Macaca mulatta: one gene and its partners. The protein of the gene in region 1 purifies or fractionates together with the protein of each later gene. This does not show direct contact. Links are inferred from orthologs where the notes say so. Each region holds a gene or a part of one and is shown on either strand. Other genes may lie near its edges. The genes, in order: MAP1LC3A, KEAP1, CLTC and CLTCL1.

Evidence for each region.
Region 2: the proteins of MAP1LC3A (region 1) and KEAP1 purify together in Homo sapiens (affinity purification with mass spectrometry; 3 studies listed by BioGRID and IntAct, with this or other methods). This does not show direct contact. The link is inferred for Macaca mulatta from reciprocal best matches to the Homo sapiens genes MAP1LC3A and KEAP1.
Region 3: the proteins of MAP1LC3A (region 1) and CLTC purify together in Homo sapiens (affinity purification with mass spectrometry; 3 studies listed by BioGRID and IntAct, with this or other methods). This does not show direct contact. The link is inferred for Macaca mulatta from reciprocal best matches to the Homo sapiens genes MAP1LC3A and CLTC.
Region 4: the proteins of MAP1LC3A (region 1) and CLTCL1 purify together in Homo sapiens (affinity purification with mass spectrometry; 3 studies listed by BioGRID and IntAct, with this or other methods). This does not show direct contact. The link is inferred for Macaca mulatta from reciprocal best matches to the Homo sapiens genes MAP1LC3A and CLTCL1.

Annotation. Positions count from the first base shown.
Region 1 is NC_133415.1:87,344,108-87,348,015, forward strand, and holds MAP1LC3A (microtubule-associated protein 1 light chain 3 alpha), read left to right. Parts: upstream 1-1,483; 5' UTR 1,484-1,638; coding exon 1,639-1,678; coding exon of another isoform or gene 1,679-1,699; intron 1,700-2,007; coding exon 2,008-2,063; intron 2,064-2,146; coding exon 2,147-2,253; intron 2,254-2,522; coding exon 2,523-2,685; 3' UTR 2,686-3,125; downstream 3,126-3,908. Other genes in the region: GPI-anchor transamidase component PIGU, read right to left, coding at 3,638-3,751. UniProt on the Homo sapiens protein: Ubiquitin-like modifier involved in formation of autophagosomal vacuoles (autophagosomes). While LC3s are involved in elongation of the phagophore membrane, the GABARAP/GATE-16 subfamily is essential for a later stage in autophagosome maturation.
Region 2 is NC_133424.1:11,213,166-11,217,446, reverse strand, and holds the end of KEAP1 (kelch-like ECH-associated protein 1), read left to right. Parts: intron 1-599; coding exon 600-805; intron 806-1,083; coding exon 1,084-1,260; intron 1,261-2,973; coding exon 2,974-3,140; 3' UTR 3,141-3,667; downstream 3,668-4,281. UniProt on the Homo sapiens protein: Substrate-specific adapter of a BCR (BTB-CUL3-RBX1) E3 ubiquitin ligase complex that regulates the response to oxidative stress by targeting NFE2L2/NRF2 for ubiquitination.
Region 3 is NC_133421.1:50,364,879-50,369,376, reverse strand, and holds the start of CLTC (clathrin heavy chain 1), read left to right. Parts: upstream 1-1,518; 5' UTR 1,519-1,755; coding exon 1,756-1,797; intron 1,798-4,498. UniProt on the Homo sapiens protein: Clathrin is the major protein of the polyhedral coat of coated pits and vesicles. Two different adapter protein complexes link the clathrin lattice either to the plasma membrane or to the trans-Golgi network.
Region 4 is NC_133415.1:33,412,391-33,416,975, forward strand, and holds the start of CLTCL1 (clathrin heavy chain 2), read left to right. Parts: upstream 1-1,458; 5' UTR 1,459-2,714; coding exon 2,715-3,230; exon of another isoform or gene 3,231-4,585. UniProt on the Homo sapiens protein: Clathrin is the major protein of the polyhedral coat of coated pits and vesicles. Two different adapter protein complexes link the clathrin lattice either to the plasma membrane or to the trans-Golgi network.

The DNA of each region.
Region 1 (3,908 bases):
CATTTTCTACCTCTGGTTTTGTACTATATATTTACCATCCCTTTTACTTTGCTTCCTTTTTCTCCTTTTCTGGCGTCCATTATAGTTTGTATTCTTTTGATGATCCCTCTTAAATATCTGAAATACACACCTGACTTTACAAAGCCAGAGAATGCTTAGTCTCTTTATCCCCCTCTCAAATCGAACTTCCTAAAACACCTTAACTCTGATTGCCCTCTCAGTCTCCCATGTTCTTCTGTCTCATGCATCTTGTTTCTGTGGCCCACAGATTATCCATTATTCATGTTGCATATTAAATACTTGTTTAGATTTACTGACATGTTTACTAATTTGCTCACCATTTTTCCATCTAATTTCTTCCTTTTGGGTTCCATGTCTTTGATACTGAAGTACATTCTTTAAAAATTATTTTGGCGGCTGGGCGCAGTGGCTCACGCCTGTAATCCCAGCACTTTGGGAGGCTGAGGCGGGCGGATCACGAGGTCAGGAGATCGAGACCATCCTGGCCAACATGGTGAAACCCCATCTCTACTAAAAACATAAAAAGTAGCTAGGCGTGGTGGCAGGCGCCTAATAATCCCAGCTCCTTAGGAGGCTGACTGAGGCAGGAGAATCGCTTGAACCAGGGAGGCGGAGGTTGCAGTGAGCTGAGATCGCACCACTCTAGCCTGGCGAAAGAACGAAACTCCCTTTCAAAAAAAAAAAAAAAAAAAGATGTTGATCTTCGGTCTGTGCCTTCTGCTCTGGATTTTAAGCATCATTTCTGACAGCTCTCATTCAGGAACTGCCTCTGCAGGTCTTTCAGTGCTCGCCTGTGGAGCTCTGCTCCGGCCTGCGAGTTCTCCTGGCGTTGCCATCCGTGGCCTTTTCCTTTTAATTCTCCATCACCTGTCCTCTGGTAAGCTGCTTGCTATCAGCCTCCAGGTCCACGATTTCTCTTCTGTTGTCCTGCTCTGCCTTCTTGCCACATCCTCTGAGACCTGAATTTCGATAGCTCTACTCTTCAATTATATTATTCTTTTTCAAACCTGGGCGTTCATTTCTAGCGTCTTGCTCTATCCTGTGTCTGACTGTGCCTCCCGCACCTTCTCCCTTCTCTTGCCCTGAGCCCCCTTGAAGGCGCCGGGCCTTTGGCTCCCGCTGTTTCCCACGGTGCCCAGAGCCGCGGGTCAGTCCTGACACAGACTCGGTGAGGGAAGGAAGTGGTGCCACGGGGCTGCAGCCTGGCCCACCCGCTCCATCGGCCCAGGGCGGCCCCACCGCTCTCCCGGCCTCACCAGAGTCGGGGCCACGGGAGAGGCTCCCGCGCTGCTCATGACGTCACGGGACTGTGACGCGCCCAGGAGCCCCGCCTCTCGTGTCCCGGGCCGGGGACCCAGGCTCTCTGCGCCGTGACGTCACGGGTCCGGGCGGGCGGGTTGTGCGTCGGCCCAATGGGAGCTGCGCGCCGGCCTCCCCTTTAAGGAATGTTGTGACCTGACGTCACCGGGCGAGTTACCTCCCGCAGCCGCCGCCGCCGTGCTCAGCGCGAGCGCCGGAGCCCTTGAGCGCGAGGCACGGAGCCCCCGGAGCCCCCAAACCGCAGCCACATCTCCGCGCCCCAGAGCCCCGGCCTGCGCGCCCAGCCGGGCCCGCGCGATGCCCTCCGACCGGCCTTTCAAGCAGCGGCGGAGCTTCGGTGAGGCCCGGCAGGCGAGCTGTGAGCTCGGGGTAGGGGTGCCGGGGAGGGGGGGTGCCCGGCCGACCCAGACTGCCGCAGGTGACGTCAGCCCCGTGACGTCAGGCTTCGGCTGGACCCTCGGGCTGGGAGGCTGGCTCCGGCCTGGGCGGGGGCTGCCTGCTTCCCCACCACGATAGGTGCCAGGGGCTGTGGGGCCTGACGGCCCCGGGGGCGGGGGCTGGAGCTGGGGCGTGGCCGGGGGCCGCCCCTTGGGGACAGGCAGGCGGAGACGTGGGGAGGACCTGGGCCGGGCCGACCCGGCCTCACGGTCTGGCCGCTGTCCGCAGCCGACCGCTGTAAGGAGGTACAGCAGATCCGCGACCAGCACCCCAGCAAAATCCCGGTAAGTCCTGCACCCCCAGCCCTGCCCCGGCCCCGCCTCGCGCGTCCCCGACACAACCCCCTGCCCGCCCGCCCTGCTCCCAGGTGATCATCGAGCGCTACAAGGGTGAGAAGCAGCTGCCCGTCCTGGACAAGACCAAGTTTCTGGTCCCGGACCATGTCAACATGAGCGAGTTGGTCAAGATCATCCGGTGCGTGGGCAGCCGCTGCCAGGTGGTGGCTTGGGTCGGGAAGGGAGACGGGTTCCCGCCGAGAAGGGGTCAGGGGTGATGGGACCGGTGGTGGACCCCTGTTCTGGGGCGGCTGGAAAGGTCAAGGTCGGGGCTGCAGTCGGTGCCGGGTCAGAGGTGACAGGTGGGGTGAGGATGGGTGTGAAAGGCTGGGAATCATTCTGGGGGTCAGGGCTACGTTGCCCCGTAGCCAAGCCCCTTACAGCCACATACTCTCCCGCCTGCCTCAGGCGCCGCCTGCAGCTGAACCCCACGCAGGCCTTCTTCCTGCTGGTGAACCAGCACAGCATGGTGAGCGTGTCCACGCCCATCGCGGACATCTACGAGCAGGAGAAAGACGAGGACGGCTTCCTCTACATGGTCTACGCCTCCCAGGAAACCTTCGGCTTCTGAGCCAGCAGTAGGGGGGTCGGCCTGGGAGTGGGGGGGGGCCCGGTCAGGCCCTGCCCAGAGAGCTCCTGGTTCCTGAACTGAGCTGCCTCTGCCGTGGTGGGCTGGGCAGGCATGTGCCCCCCTAGTCAGAGGGCAACCCACCTACTCTGCCCCTGGGTGGATCCTGGGCCGGTTGTGTTAGGGTTGTCCCTCTGGGTGCTGGCTGGGATGGGGGAGGGTTGGGAGCAGCCCCCAGCACCCCGCTGTGTGGTTCATCTTTTTTTTAGGCCCCTGCCTGACTGCCCATCTGCCCCTCACCCACCCAAGGCTCTGCCCACGCCTGGACCTGCCCACCCCTGAAAGACTGGCCCCTGGCTCCCCGCCCCTCGGTCTCCACATGGTGTATGGATCTGTGGTCATTGTCCCTCTGCAGAATAAAGATTGCTCAGGCCTGCCTGGCCCCGTGCCTCCAGCTGCTTGCTTGGGAGTGGGAAGGGTGCTGGTAGGGCTGTCTGCACCATCCCCGGGCTCTGGCGCACAGACTTGTGTTCTGTGGCCTCAGTGCTTGCTCTGGAAACCCACACCTGTGTGTAGTGTTCAGAACATTAGGGTCCAACCCTCTAGGAGTGCAATGCAGATGTGGTCTCAGGGTAGACTTCATAACAAAAAACATTTATTAAGTAGCTACAACCTAACAAGCCCTGCTCACCTGCCTCTTCTCCTTCCTGCCTGGGAGGGGGCTCCTTGGTGTGCAGAGCCACGAAGTGGGGGGGTCCAAGTTGGGGAGCTTCCAGTTCTTCCCCACAGGCCTTACTATCAGCCATGGGTCTCTTTTGGTACCAGAGACTTGTGACCCTGGACTCGAACCTCTTCTGCCCGAGCACTCGCCTGCTGGCAACTCTGACTGGAGGGCTTGGCCCAGCTTCTGGCCCCTCAGCCCCCTGAGGTCCACAAAGCCCTGTGCCAGCCAGGCCTACTTGAGCACAAGCATGGCCTCTGTGCCGTCCTTGGCGGTCAAGTAGAGGCCGTGTGTGAGGTAGTACTCCCGCCGCAGGAAGGCATAGAAGTAATCAGAGATGAGCAGGATCTGGGGGGAGAGAGAGGATATGAGGTGCTGCAGGGTATCTCCCCGTGAGCCCAGGATCCCTGAACTGCTAGCATGTGTTGGAAGACAGGAGAGCCCCTGCCTGGCTCTGGATCACAATCACTGGAGAGGCCCTGCCCAGGGCCCCCACCTCAGGGCC
Region 2 (4,281 bases), on another chromosome or scaffold:
CTGTTATCCCAGCTACTTGTGAGGCTGAGGCTGGATAACTGATTGAACCCAGGAGGCGGAGGTTGCAGTGAGCCATGCTCTCACCATTGCACTCCACGTCAAAAAAGAAAAAGTTTGAAACTTCGGTGAGCTGTGATTGTGCCACTGCACTCCAGCCTGGACAACAGAGCAAGACCCTGTCTCTTTTTTTTGTTTTTTTTTTTGAAATGGAGTCTTTCTCTGTCGCCTAGGCTGGAGTGCAGTGGCACGATCTCAGCTCACTGCAACCTACACCTCCCAGGTTCAAATGATTATCTCACCTCAGCGTCCCGAGTAGCTGGGATTACAGGCACCTGCCATCACACCCAGCTAATTTTTGTATTTTTAATAGAGACAAGGTTTTACCATATTGGCCAGGCTGGTCTTAAACTCCTGACCTCAGGTGATCCACCCTCCTCGGCCTCCCAAAGTGCTGGGATTACAGACACGTGCCACTGCGCCTGATGACCCTGTCTCTTTAAAGGAAGAAAAAAAGGGAAAAAAGGGGTATCAGGCCTTTAAGTATTCCACGAAGGTCAGCTATAATGGCCATTGTCCCCATTTTTCTTATGCCCTTGCAGGTATGAGCCAGAGCGGGATGAGTGGCACTTGGTGGCCCCAATGCTGACACGAAGGATCGGGGTGGGCGTGGCCGTCCTCAATCGTCTGCTTTATGCCGTGGGGGGCTTTGACGGGACAAACCGCCTTAATTCAGCTGAGCGTTACTACCCAGAGAGGAACGAGTGGCGAATGATCACAGCAATGAACACCATCCGAAGCGGGGCAGGTGGGTGGGGACGGTAGTGAGGGGAGCATCCAGGAACACCCCCACCATCCTGGGGTGAAACTGAGCCAGGCCTGGGAGAGACCCCCTGTTGCAACCCTCACCCTGAGATAACCACAGAAGCACTGGATTCTGATAGAGTCCAAGCTTCTCTCTCTCCATGCTTCATTTCTGAGGGTGAGAAGGGAGAGGAGAGAGGAAAGGTCTCCCTCAAGGAGGTGATGGCTGGGGCTCCCAAAGCCAGTCCTCCAGAGTCACCTTCTCTGCACGGTGCCCTTTAGGCGTCTGTGTCCTGCACAACTGCATCTATGCTGCCGGGGGCTATGATGGTCAGGACCAGCTGAACAGCGTGGAGCGTTATGACGTGGAAACAGAGACGTGGACTTTCGTAGCCCCCATGAAGCACCGGCGAAGTGCCCTGGGGATCACTGTCCACCAGGGGAGAATCTACGTCCTTGGTGAGGCCCTGGGGGTGGGGAAGAGTCCCGACTAGCCCCATCTCTTGTGGACTGTGGCTGCTTTTGCTTTTTTGCTTTCCTTTTTTTTTTTTTTTTTTTCTTAGAAACAGGGTCTCGCTCTGTCGCCCAGGCTGAGTGCAGTGGTGTGATCACAGCTTGCTGGAGCCTCAACCTCCTGGGCTCCAGCCATCCTCCTGCCTCAGCTTCCCAAGTAGCAGGGACCACACGCACGCACCACCACACCCGGCTAATGTTTGTTTTTTTGAGATGGAGTCTCGCAATGTTGCCCAGGCTGGGGTGCAATGGCATGATCTCAGCTCACTGCAACCTCCGCCTCCTGGAGGTTCAAGCAATTCTCCTGTCTTAGCCTCCTGAGTAGCTGGGACTATAGGTGTGTGCCACCGCACCTGGCTAATTTTTTGTATTTTAGTAGAGATAGGGTTTCACCATGTTAGCCAGGCTGGTCTCGAACTCCTGACCTCGTGATCCACCCACTTCAGCCTTCCAAAGTGCTGGGATTATAGGCGTGAGCCACCGCGCTGGGGCTTTTTCTTTTTTTGAGACAGGAGTCTCGCTCTGTTGCCAGGCTGGAGTGCAATGGCGCGATCTCAGCTCACTGCAACCTCCGCCTCCTGGTTTCAAGCGATTCTCCCCCCTCAGCCTCCCATGTAGCTGATATTACAGGTGCCCACCACTATGCCCTGCTAATTTTTATATTTTAGTAGAGATGGGGTTTCACCATGCTGGTCAGGCTGGTCTTGAACTCCTGACCTCAGGTGATCTGCCCACATCAGCCTCCCAAAGTGCTGGGATTACAGGCGTGAGCCACCACACTCGGCTTAATGTTATTTATGTATTTATTTATTTTTGAAACGGAGTCTGGCTCTGTCGCTCAGGCTGGAGTGCAGTGGCACACTCTCGGCTCACTGCAAGCTCTACCTCCCAGGTTCATGCCATTCTCCTGGCTCAGCCTCCCGAGTAGCTGGGATTATAGGCACCTGCCACCACGCCCGGCTAATTTTTATTTTTTTTTGTATTTTTAGTAGAGATGGGGTTTCACCATGTTAGCCAGGATGGTCTCAATCTCCTGACCTTGTGATCCGCCCACCTCGGCCTCCCAAAGTGCTGGGATTACAGGCGTGAGCCACAGCACCCGGCTGTTTTTATTTATTTTTATTTTATTTTTTTGAGACAGAGTTTTGCTCGTGTTGCCCAGGCTGGAATGCAATGGCGTGATCTCGGCTCACTGCAACCTCTGCCTTCCAGGTTCCAGTGATTCTCCTGTCTCAGCCTCCCTAGTAGCTGGAACTACAGGCACGCACCACCACGCCTGGCTAAATTTTTATGTTTTTTTTTGGTAGAGATGGGATTTCACCATGTTGCCCAGGCTGGTCTCAAATTCCTGGACTCAAGTGATCCACCCACCTCAGTCTCCCAAAGTGCTAGATTTACAGGCTGAGCTACCGCGCCTGGCCTTTTTTTTTTTTTTTTTCTTCAGTAAGAGACTAGAGTTTGCTATGTTGCCCAGGCTGTCCTCGAACTCCTGGCCTCAAGCGATCCTCCCGCCTCAGCCCTGCAAAGTGCTAGGATTATAGGCGTGAGCCACTGCGCCCGGCCTGCTTTTGCATCTCACAGCTGCTTCTCCCTCTTTCTGTCCCCTGCTCTTGGATGTGGTGTGACAGGTGGTGACCGTCCCTTCTGTTCTTCCTGCAGGAGGCTATGATGGTCACACGTTCCTGGACAGTGTGGAGTGTTACGACCCAGATACAGACACCTGGAGCGAGGTGACCCGAATGACATCGGGCCGGAGCGGAGTGGGCGTGGCTGTCACCATGGAGCCCTGCCGGAAGCAGATCGACCAGCAGAACTGTACCTGTTGAGGCACTTTTGTTTCTTGGGCGAAAATACAGTCCAATGGGGAGTATCATTGTTTTTGTACAAAAACCAGGATTAAAAGAAAAAAGACAGCACTGCAAATAACCCATCTTCCGGGAAGGGAGGCCGCGATGCCTCAGTGTTAAAATGACATCTCAAAAAGAAGTCCAAAGCGGGAATCATGTGCCTCTCAGCGGAGCCCCAGGAGTGTCCAAGACAGCCTGGCTGGGAAAGGGGGTGTGGAAAGAGCAGGCTTCCAGGAGAGAGGCCCCCAAACCCTCTGGCCCTGGGTCCCACCCACCCAGCCAGCCACGCCGGCAGCCCTCACCTTGTGATTTGTTCTTGGATACCTGGGAGGGGGCCAATGGGGGCCTCAGGCGGAGGCCCCCTCTGGAAATGTGGTTCCCAGGGATGGGCCTGTACATAGAAGCCACCGGATGGCACTTCCCCACCGGATGGACAGTTATTTTGTTGATAAGTAACCCTGTAATTTTCCAAGGAAAATAAAGAACAGACTAACTAGTGTCTTTCACCCTGGCTCTGGGCTGGAGGTCTGAAACCCGGGGCCAGAAAGGGCTCTTCTCCTGAAACACACTCCTCTTTGACTTAGGGCTGGTATTTGAAACCGTTTTGTAATCTTTGCCCATCGCATTTTGATATGTAGGGCATCTTTCTCCCCATAGGCAAGCCACACAGCTGTCCTTCAGTTTCAGCTGCCTTGGAAGACAAGGAGCTAATTCCTAGTCACATCTCCCAGGGCTCCCCAAGCTCATTTTTTTTTTTTTCCTTTTATTTTGAGACAGAGTTTTGCTCTTGTTGCGCAGGCTGGAGTGCAATAGCGTGATCTCAGCTCACAGCAACCTCTGCCTCCTGGGTTCAAGTGATTCTCCTGCCTCAACCTCCCGAGTAGCTGGGATTACAGGCGTGTGCCACCACATCTGGCTAATTTTGTATTTTTTTTTTTTTTTTGAGACGGAGCCTTGCTCTGTCGCCCAGGCTGGAGTGCAGTGGTCGGATCTCAGCTCACTGCAAGCTCCGCCTCCCGGGTTCACGCCATTCTCCTGCCTCAGCCTCCTGAGTAGCTGGGACTACAGGCGCCCGTCACCTCGCCCGGCTAGTTTTTTGTATTTTTTAGTAGAGATGGGG
Region 3 (4,498 bases), on another chromosome or scaffold:
CCTGTTACCTGCCAGATTCTTCTCTCGTGCTCAGTATGAGACAGTTAAGTAAAAGAGAAAAACACTAAAAGCAACTGATTGGCAAACTTCTCACCCTAACTCAAACTTAGCACACAAAATTACTGTCTACCCAGTAGGGTTTTATGTCCTTTAACTGAAAAGGGCACTAAAAATAATTACTGTGGACTTGAGCTTTTCTCTTTCGGGGGAGGGTGGGGAATCACCTCTCTTACAAAGATAAAAGGCACAGAATTAAAGTCTTTCATCCTTTTTTGTATTGGTGCGATTATGAAATATTATGGCTTATACTTTAGCAAGAAAGTACTGGGAAGGTTATTATTAATCGACAATGAATGCCGTTGATACCTCCATGCTCTTTGAAGACATGATGCTCCGGCTTTGAAGCGCTGCATTTCTACACTGCTAACCTACAGGAACCTATGTTGAGGTGGTCCCACGGAAATGCACGACTAACAGTTCATCTCTTTCCTCCAGGAACCTTCAGGCTTTACCAAGCATCCTTACCCTAATTATCTAAATCTCTGAGACATAAATTATTTGATGTGGCTAAAAATCCTCCTGCTAGAATTTGAGTCCAATCCTTGTACGTTCTGATACTCGAATTCTTTAACGAAACTGATTACTGAGCTAGGCTGACACATGTCCGCCCGCCAAAATGTCCGCAGAAACGTTAAGAGAAGCTGTCATAAGGCCAGCTTGAGACACATCATAAATGGCCTTCGCTGTCCTTTGAGCTAATTATCTAACACCCGAAGAGAGTGCCGGTTCTAGTTAGAATCCGCGCGTCAGGTTCTCCAACCGTCAGAAGGGCGTGTGTGAGGGCAGGGAGGATTTTAAACCCCGTTTCAGGCCCCCTCCCTAGGCTGTAGGAAACCACCCACTCTGAAGCCCGGCGGGGGAGGAGTGCTGCAGCCAGCTGCCGAGGGAGCGCTCTGCGGCGAGGCCGTTTCCCTGAGTCACGGAGAGGGCGGGAGGCTGCCCCCGTCTGCCCCCGCCACGTCCTCCTGTAAGGGGCTCAGTCCAAACAGGCAGGGGTCGCAGGGGAAGGAAGCGGCACCCGTCATGCCTCAAGGTGGCCCAACAGCCACTTCACTCCCAGGAGACGCCGCATTTCCTTAAAACGCGCTCTCCATTCTGGCAGCAATCAGCCGACCCTTCCCCATCAGTATCACGTGCACCTGGAAGTACGTGGGTGGGACCTAAAGCGCCCACGGAAGTGACGTCGGTCGCTCCGAGTCGCATGATGTGGCAAAATGCAAAAAAAAAAAAAAAAAAGTGGGGGTAGAAAAAGAAGATTGGCGAAAGTGATGAGTCTAAAAAAGTAGTCCCTCCGGTTCCTCTGTTGCCCCCCGTGTGGCGTCAGAAGAGAGGCTCCGGGCGCACAGCGCCCGGAATTCCTGCACCCGCCGCACGCACCGCTCCGTGGAGGGGTACATAAGGCGGAGGGGGTGAGGCGACTGGGCGGAGTTCTGTCGCCGGGATCCTTCCGCTGGGCTCAGCCGTTTCCGGAGTCTGCGCTGCGCCCGGTTCCGCCATTGCGGCTCTCCTGGCCCGTGGAGCCTCCGCCCCCGACCCGAGCTCTTTCGTCTGCGTGCCAGTTTCCTGCGTCCCCGGAGAGGATCCTGCTGAGCCCAGCCTCCCCCCTCCCCTTCTCCTCCTCTCCCTCGGAGAGCCCGGGCAGCCACTGCCCCGCAGCCCCAGTGACAGGAGGAGACCATTCCCCCCGACAGCGCCATGGCCCAGATTCTGCCAATTCGTTTTCAGGAGCATCTCCAGGTGCGGCCGGGCCCGGGCTGGTGAGGGCTGTGGAGAAGGTGGTAGGAATAGTGGAAGAAGCTGGAGTCTGGGCCCCGAGCAGGATCGGAGCTGGAGGGGTGGGGGGGTTGTCGGTCTTTGGGGTAGGTGGAGGAGGGGGCACTATCTTAGAAAGCTTAAACTGTTAAATGATGTGGGGCTTGGATGAAAGGACAGGAGTTGGGGTGCAAAGGGCTGCAAAGACCAGGCCTGGATCCAAAGGCCTCTCGATCTTGCTTCCTGGATGGCCAGAACTGCGCGTACAAACTCTCTCCTCCCCATTTTGTTCAGTTCATTCATTTGGGTAGGGGAGTGGGAGGGGGGATTCTCTCTTGTTTCTACCAGAGCAAGGATTCTTATCCCCTGGGCCAGTGCGGGGCTGTCACCTTCCATTGCTCTCCTCTTTCCCTCTTCGTGTCTGCACCCAGGAGTTGTGGGGCGGGTGGGTTGGGGAGGAGCAACCTTTTTTTTTTCCTCCCTCTGCGGCTCTCAACTGAGAAAGGCACCTTCTCCGGTGGTGGGGGTTGGGGGTGGTGGTGAGGCGGTGGCTTGTCTCTTGCCTTCCTTGAGGCAGTAGGGACAGAAGGTCACTGAAAGAACGAAACGAGGGTAGAATGGGAGAACGCATTTCTCAGAACGATGTCAATCTCAGAGTGTGTGGGGTCGAGCTCCCTAAGGAAACTCGCCTCCCCTTCCCACTTTTTTTATTTCTTTGGGGATGTTGTGGCTCTTAACCCCTCTTTGGTTCTAGAAGGTAGGAAAGAGTGATACAGAGGTTATCTTCTAGTCTTCTCGAGTAGTAGCAGGTAGTTTTGAATATCTTCCTCAGGATCGCATGGAATTGAACAGAGCCCTGGGGACAGAGCACAGCTGCTCTGAGACCTGCGGGGCTATTTGGTCTGTAACTGGCTTCCCTTTAGTAAGTTCTAGAGTTCTTTCCCATGGTTCCTTATCCTGGAGGCAACATATTGTTGTCTCATCTGGCAGCATGCCAATCGCTGGCCTAGGCAGGTGACCATTGGAAGGCTTCACTGAATTAAACCTCTTCAGAGCTTTTGATTTTCCTGTGTCACCAATCCTGATTTTTACTGTAGCTGAAACAATTTATTCCTATTAATTTGCTTTCTTCCCAAATATCCCCTTAAAGAAACCTGCCTCAGCTCTATCGTCTGAAGGGCTAATTCCATAATGACAGAGAATGCAGTGGTTTGACATGACACTAATATCAGTGACTTATTAGACACTTTACCATTGAAGACCATTTTTATTTACATTCCCCCATTGGTATAACATACATAAAAGAGTTTTGTTAATAAAAGGTTTTAATATTCAGGCTATAAGTAACATAATTTCATATTTCTTTGCAGGTATTACCATGTTTGCACTAGCAAGGACTTATTTTCCTTTAAGGCTTGAAATGTAAAGAATAATAAATCTTTACCCATAAAATGAGTCAAATAATGCACTTTCTTCAGTCATCTATAATTTTCAAATAACTCATCTGAAGTAATGGAATATACCTTGGCATATCTTGGCATATATATATAAATATATTTATGCCAATAATAAAAACACTTTTACAGAAGGTTAAAAACGTTAAATAACAAAGTGGATTTTTTTTTAATCAATCCAAGTTTAATTGCTTTAGTTATTTTTGTTAAAGTGGGGTGGCAAATGAATGTGGAGAGTTGAGAAAGTGCTGTTCTTAAGTGTGAGGGGAAAACGCGGGCTTGTTTTCATACTAAGCTGCATCTGAAATATCTTTCTGCAGACAAATGTTTATAAACCACACAAAGAATCAAGTACAGCTGCTGTTTATTTTCCATGGCAGATGTATAGCTCACTACTAAATCTTGTGGTGGTTCGAGTAATAGCTTTTCATTTCTTTTAAAGAGGAGACAAGAATTGTTAAATGATGCCAGAGATTGGAACCCAACCTTGTCACTTATTGAAGACAAATTTAATACATGTCTGTTTTGTAACTGGCTCAGTTTCAGCAGATACTTGAATGAAGCCATTTTCTTCTCAAATAATTTGAAGATTTTGAATATAAAGCAGATTTGCAAATTGAAAATTCAGCCCTCTGTGTTTTGGATTGCTATGTCATGCCTAAAGTTAAGCTTGCTTAGCTAATATGACTGTGTGCTCCAGCTGATTAATTGCAGAGCGCAAATAACTACAGCCTCTTCCATGATAATATATCTCCTGACTTCATTATCTCCTACCTTTTGAAAAATTAATAAGGTTTTTGTTTTTTGAAGAGACAGGGTTTTTGCTGGAGGTCAGTGGCACTGTCACAGGTCACTGCAGCCTTGACCTACTGGGCTCAAGCCATCCTCCCACCTCAGCATCCTGAGTAGTTGGGACTACGGCCATGAGCCACCACACCTGGCTAATTTTTGTATTTTTTGTAGAGATGGGGCTTCACTATGTTGCCCAGGCTAGTCTCGAATTCCTGGGCTCAAGCAATCCTTTGCCTTGGCCTCCCAAAGTGCTGGGATAATAGGTGTGAACCACTGAGCCCAACTAATAAGGATTATTTTAATTGGCGTCTTAGGTCTCTGACCTCTGAGCTTCTACCAGTTTGCTAAGTAGCAGAAAATTTTCTGAAACACGTAGGATTAAAAACTGGAAACAAGAAATGAGGAACTTAAGTATGAGTATAGTTAGCTTGTAAAACTGT
Region 4 (4,585 bases), about 54 Mb from region 1:
GGAGAAGCTGAATCCAGTTTGAAGTTTTTCCAGGACTTGCAGAACCAGCCTCAATATGCCTTCTCCTTAGAGGTCTGGGTGAGAGTCTCCCAGTGCCCTCTTTAGGGGGCTTACTCCCAGCTCCACAGCCACCCCTCATCCATAGTATATGTCTAAGTCCCATAGGGACCCTCCTCAGAGGTCTGGGTCCCATCCCCATGGGATCTCTCCTCTGGGCTCAAAGAGCCCAGCCCCAGCTGGTCAACACACCTCCTCAGAGATCTGAATTCCAGCTCTGCAAGCCCTTCCTTTAAGCTATAATAATTCCAGCTTCTTTTTCATCTTTGAGTTCTAGGGGTGGTAGCTGTGTCCTATGTTTGTACCTCCATATCTTGGGATTTTCCTTTTATTGAGTTAACTTTATTTCCTGTTAACTATTGTTTATATTCAATTCCCTCTGTTTAAATAACTGATGCACTTTCTCTTCTGTGGTTTGAAGGTTTGTGTCCCCTCCAAAATTAATGTTGAAACTTAATCCCGGGCCAGGCGCGGTGGCACACGCCTGTAATCCCAGCACTTTGGGAGGCCGAGGTGGATGGATCACCTGAGGCCAGGAGTTTGAGACCAGCCTGGTCAACATGGTGAGACCCTGTCTCTACTAAAAATGCAAAAATTAGCCAGGCATGGTGGTGGGCGCCTGTAGTCCCAGCTACTTGGGAGGCTGAGGCAGGAGAATGGCTTGAACCTGAGAGGCAGAGATTGCAGTAAGCAGAGATCGTGCCACTGCACACCAGCCTGAGAGCCAGAGCCAGACTCTGTCTCAAAAAAAAAAAAAAAAAAAAAAAAAAAAATTGAAAGTTTTTTTTAAGGGTTACTTAGCAAGTTACCTACAAGTGATGAGAATAGTAAAGTCCCTTTCAAGTCAGAACATTTAGTTTTTTTACAAATATATTAATTTTATTTCCTGTTAACTATAACTATCACTTATATTCACTTCTGTCTAGTCAAATAACTGATGTGCTTTCTGTCTCTTCTATGGTTTGAAGAGACAGAAAGATTTGTGTCTCCTCTAAAATTAATGTTGAAACTTAATCCTCACTTGAGGTCCCAACTTATTAACAATCCTGTCACTTTGCTTAACTACAATTTTCTTAAATTCTTTCTTTTTTTTTTTTTTTTTTTTTGAGGCGGAGTCTCGCTCTGTCGCCCAGGCTGGAGTGCTGTGGCCAGATCTCAGCTCACTGCAAGCTCCGCCTCCCGGGTTCCCGCCATTCTCCTGCCTCAGCCTCCCGAGTAGCTGGGACTACAGGCGCCCGCCACCTAGCCCGGCTAGTTTTTTTGTATTTTTTAGTAGAGACGGGGTTTCACCGTGTTAGCCAGGATGGTCTCGATCTCCTGACCTCGTGATCAGCCCGTCTCGGCCTCCCAAAGTGCTGGGATTACAAGCTTGAGCCACCGCGCCCGGCCAAATTCTTTCTTTTGGGTATAAATTTTTAGTTTTAATCCCCTAAAAGCCCTGGGGAAGGTGATTTAGGGAGTGATGGTATTAATTACTAAAAGATTTATATAATGTTTGGGGTAAAGGGTACTTGGAGTCACAGGCATCACTGCCAAAATAAAGGGATTTGGGAAATGTAGTACTACCCACAGCAAAATCCAGCTCTATATTTAGCGGATGAGGCCACACGGATTTTAGAAACGGCAGGCTGCAGAGGTCTTGGCTAATAGTGGAAAAGAGATTTAACTTGAAAGTGAACAGTCTGTTCTATTCCTTAATATATTTTTGGCTTCTAGATGGTCAAGCCGTTGCGCAAATAATTGCACCATCCTTGTCTTATTCAAGGTGGGCTGTTCATATCTTAAAATTACCAGTGAGCAACAAGGAAAGCAGCAGAGACGGCTATCGATGACACCGTAGGAGTGCCTGTGCTGAATGCCAAGGGCTTCCCTTTCCTGACAGATATCTTTTATGCAGCTGAATCATCTGTATGCAAAACACCTCAGCCAACGGTGCCTCGGAAAAACAACTGGCTGCTGGGCAAACCAGGTGTGGGCTCCAGCTTCGACCTGCTACTACTGTCGTGCAGCCACGGGCACTCTGGGTGATCCTCACTGGCCTGGGGCTGGTCATCTGCTGCTAGATGAGCTTCGCTGACTCTTAGCATTGATATTCCAACACAGTGTCCTCTAGAAACTGCATGAGCCAGGAAAGATATTTCTTAAAGGAGCAGGGACCGAGCCTCACGCCGAAACACGTCTGTAACAGGTACAGTCACGTGTCCCATGCATCCATGCATTCTGAGGCATGCGTCTCGGCTGTGGGATCCTCACAAGGGAACTTACACAAACTCAGATGGCACAGCCACTACACAACTAGGCAGCTGATGCGGTCCGCTGCTGCTAGGCTGTACACCCGCACCGCGTGTGAGGTGCAGAATTCCGCCGGCACCCGTAATGACACACCTGTACCGTGTTATCTCCAAATACAGGGAAGGAAATGTCCTTGGCTAAGCCCTCACCAGAGGACAGGAAGTTTCCAGCTCCGTTATCATCTTATGGGACCACCGTCATATACACGGTCCTCCTCAGACCAAGAGGTCGTTCGTTATATGGCACATGTGGTTCTTCCAAGGCCCTTTTCCATGTTTCTGTCACATCCGTGCCTGCGTAAAAAGTGGCCCTGAACTCAACCGTCCAGAGTTGGAGGCAGAACTAGCACCACTGCCCCGCTCCACATGTGGAAGGCGCTGGGCAAGGACCGCCGCAGACCCTGTCAGGGTTTATCCCCTGAAAACCTTTCACTCGGGGACCTCGCGCACACCGCTTCAGGGCAGAGGGCGCGCGGGACTACTTTCCGCGGACCCTCGGAGCGGGGGGAGGGATCTGCGCAGGCGGGGCGGGGCGGGGCGGGGGCGGGGCGGGGGCGGGGGCGGGGCGGGGCGGGGGCGGGGCGGGGGCGGGGGAGCGGGGGCAGGGGAGGGGCGGGAGGAAGGGGCGCGGGGGAGGGGCAGGGGAGGGACGAGGGACGGGGGAGGGGCAGCGGAGGGGGTGGGGGCCAGGGCGCCGTCAGGAGGAGGGCGGGGGCCGGGACCTGGAGTCGGAACAACTGCGCCTGCGCCGTCGCCACCGGTCAGCCCGCGCGAGGGGTCGGCGGTCATCCCTGCCGCTTCCACCGCCGCCGCCGCAGCTGCCTAGGTCCCGCACCAGCCATGGCGCAGATCCTCCCTATTCGCTTTCAAGAGCACTTCCAGGTGAGGCCCGGAGGGCCCGGGGGATGCGCCCCGCGCTCCGTCCTGTCAGCCGCGCCTCCGCCGGCCGGCCTCTCAGGCTTGACCCCGCGCCCCTAGCCCCGCTGAGCCGCTGGCCAGCTGGCCGCGCCGACTTCTGACCTCCCACCTGGGTTGGGGCTGCGGGGTCCCGGGCGCGGCGGCCGCTCGCGAGGACCCGCTCGGGTGCCGTCGCCGAAGCCCGTTACCGGCGGGCGCCGGCTGGGGAACGCTGGTGGTGGAAGCGAACGCCCCCTGGGACGCCCCGCTCAGTGCCCGCGAGGACGCACACAGATTCCCGCTTCAGGCGGGGCAACCCGAGGGCCGCGCCGATCCCACAGCTCCACGCCCCGCTTGGTGTTCTCCGGTCCTTATTCGCCCCTGAGTTTGCCTCTGTGCTCTGTTTTCGTTCCCAGGGCGGCTTCCCCTGGGAGGACCGTGAACATGCGTGACCCAAGAGAAAAATTTCTCAGGGCTAAGCCGAAGTAGGGCTTTTCAATGCAGTAACACTTCCAAAGCCTGCCTTTTTAATAAGGTCCCAGTTTGTTCTCCGTTTGTTTGTGCTCAGGAACATAAGGACTGGTCGCCTGCTTTGAGCAAAGGCTTGGGTCGGGCGCCTTGCGGGCCGCTCACGGGTCTGCCCGGGAACGGCGCTGGTCCCCTCGTTTACCCGGGGAGGTGCGACAGAGGAGGGTCTCCAGCGGCTCCTCCCTGAGTGCTCCATGTTAAATCATCACACTCCCATTCGTTGCGATTCGCTTACTCTTTTGTAGATGAGGAAACCGAGTCTCAAAAGTGTTGAACTCATCTTCATTCAATAAGAACAGGATTCAGACTCCAGTCTTTTTGACTACAAAGTAGTACATCGAGGAACGTGCTTGATTGAAAGTTCCTGTTTTCACAGTGCAGAGCATTGTTAGCCCTAGATGCAGACGGGAAAGGCCTTGGGACCTGTGTAGTGACCAGTCCGGTCCCCTCATTCTGCAGACTGGAAACTTGATATCCAGAGGATCCTGCCAGGGTCGCTTGGTTAGTGACACAGTGGAAATTGTGTGGAGGTGGAAGTGCCTCGACATCTGTCCCCCTGGACTTCATTCTGCCACTAAGCTGAGCCAGCGCCAGTCATGTTGAGGTAGCAAAATACTGCTGCTGCTCATAATAATGAGATGATGTAGTTATCATTTATTGAGCCATTTCTCTTGCCACTGACTATTGTATTTTATAAATCTCGTTTAATTTAATTCTCATGATAACTGAGGCAGGTAGTGATATCCTGTTTTCTACCATGGGTCACTGAGGTTCATATTATAATTCATTCAGCGAAAGTTACACGGCTAGTA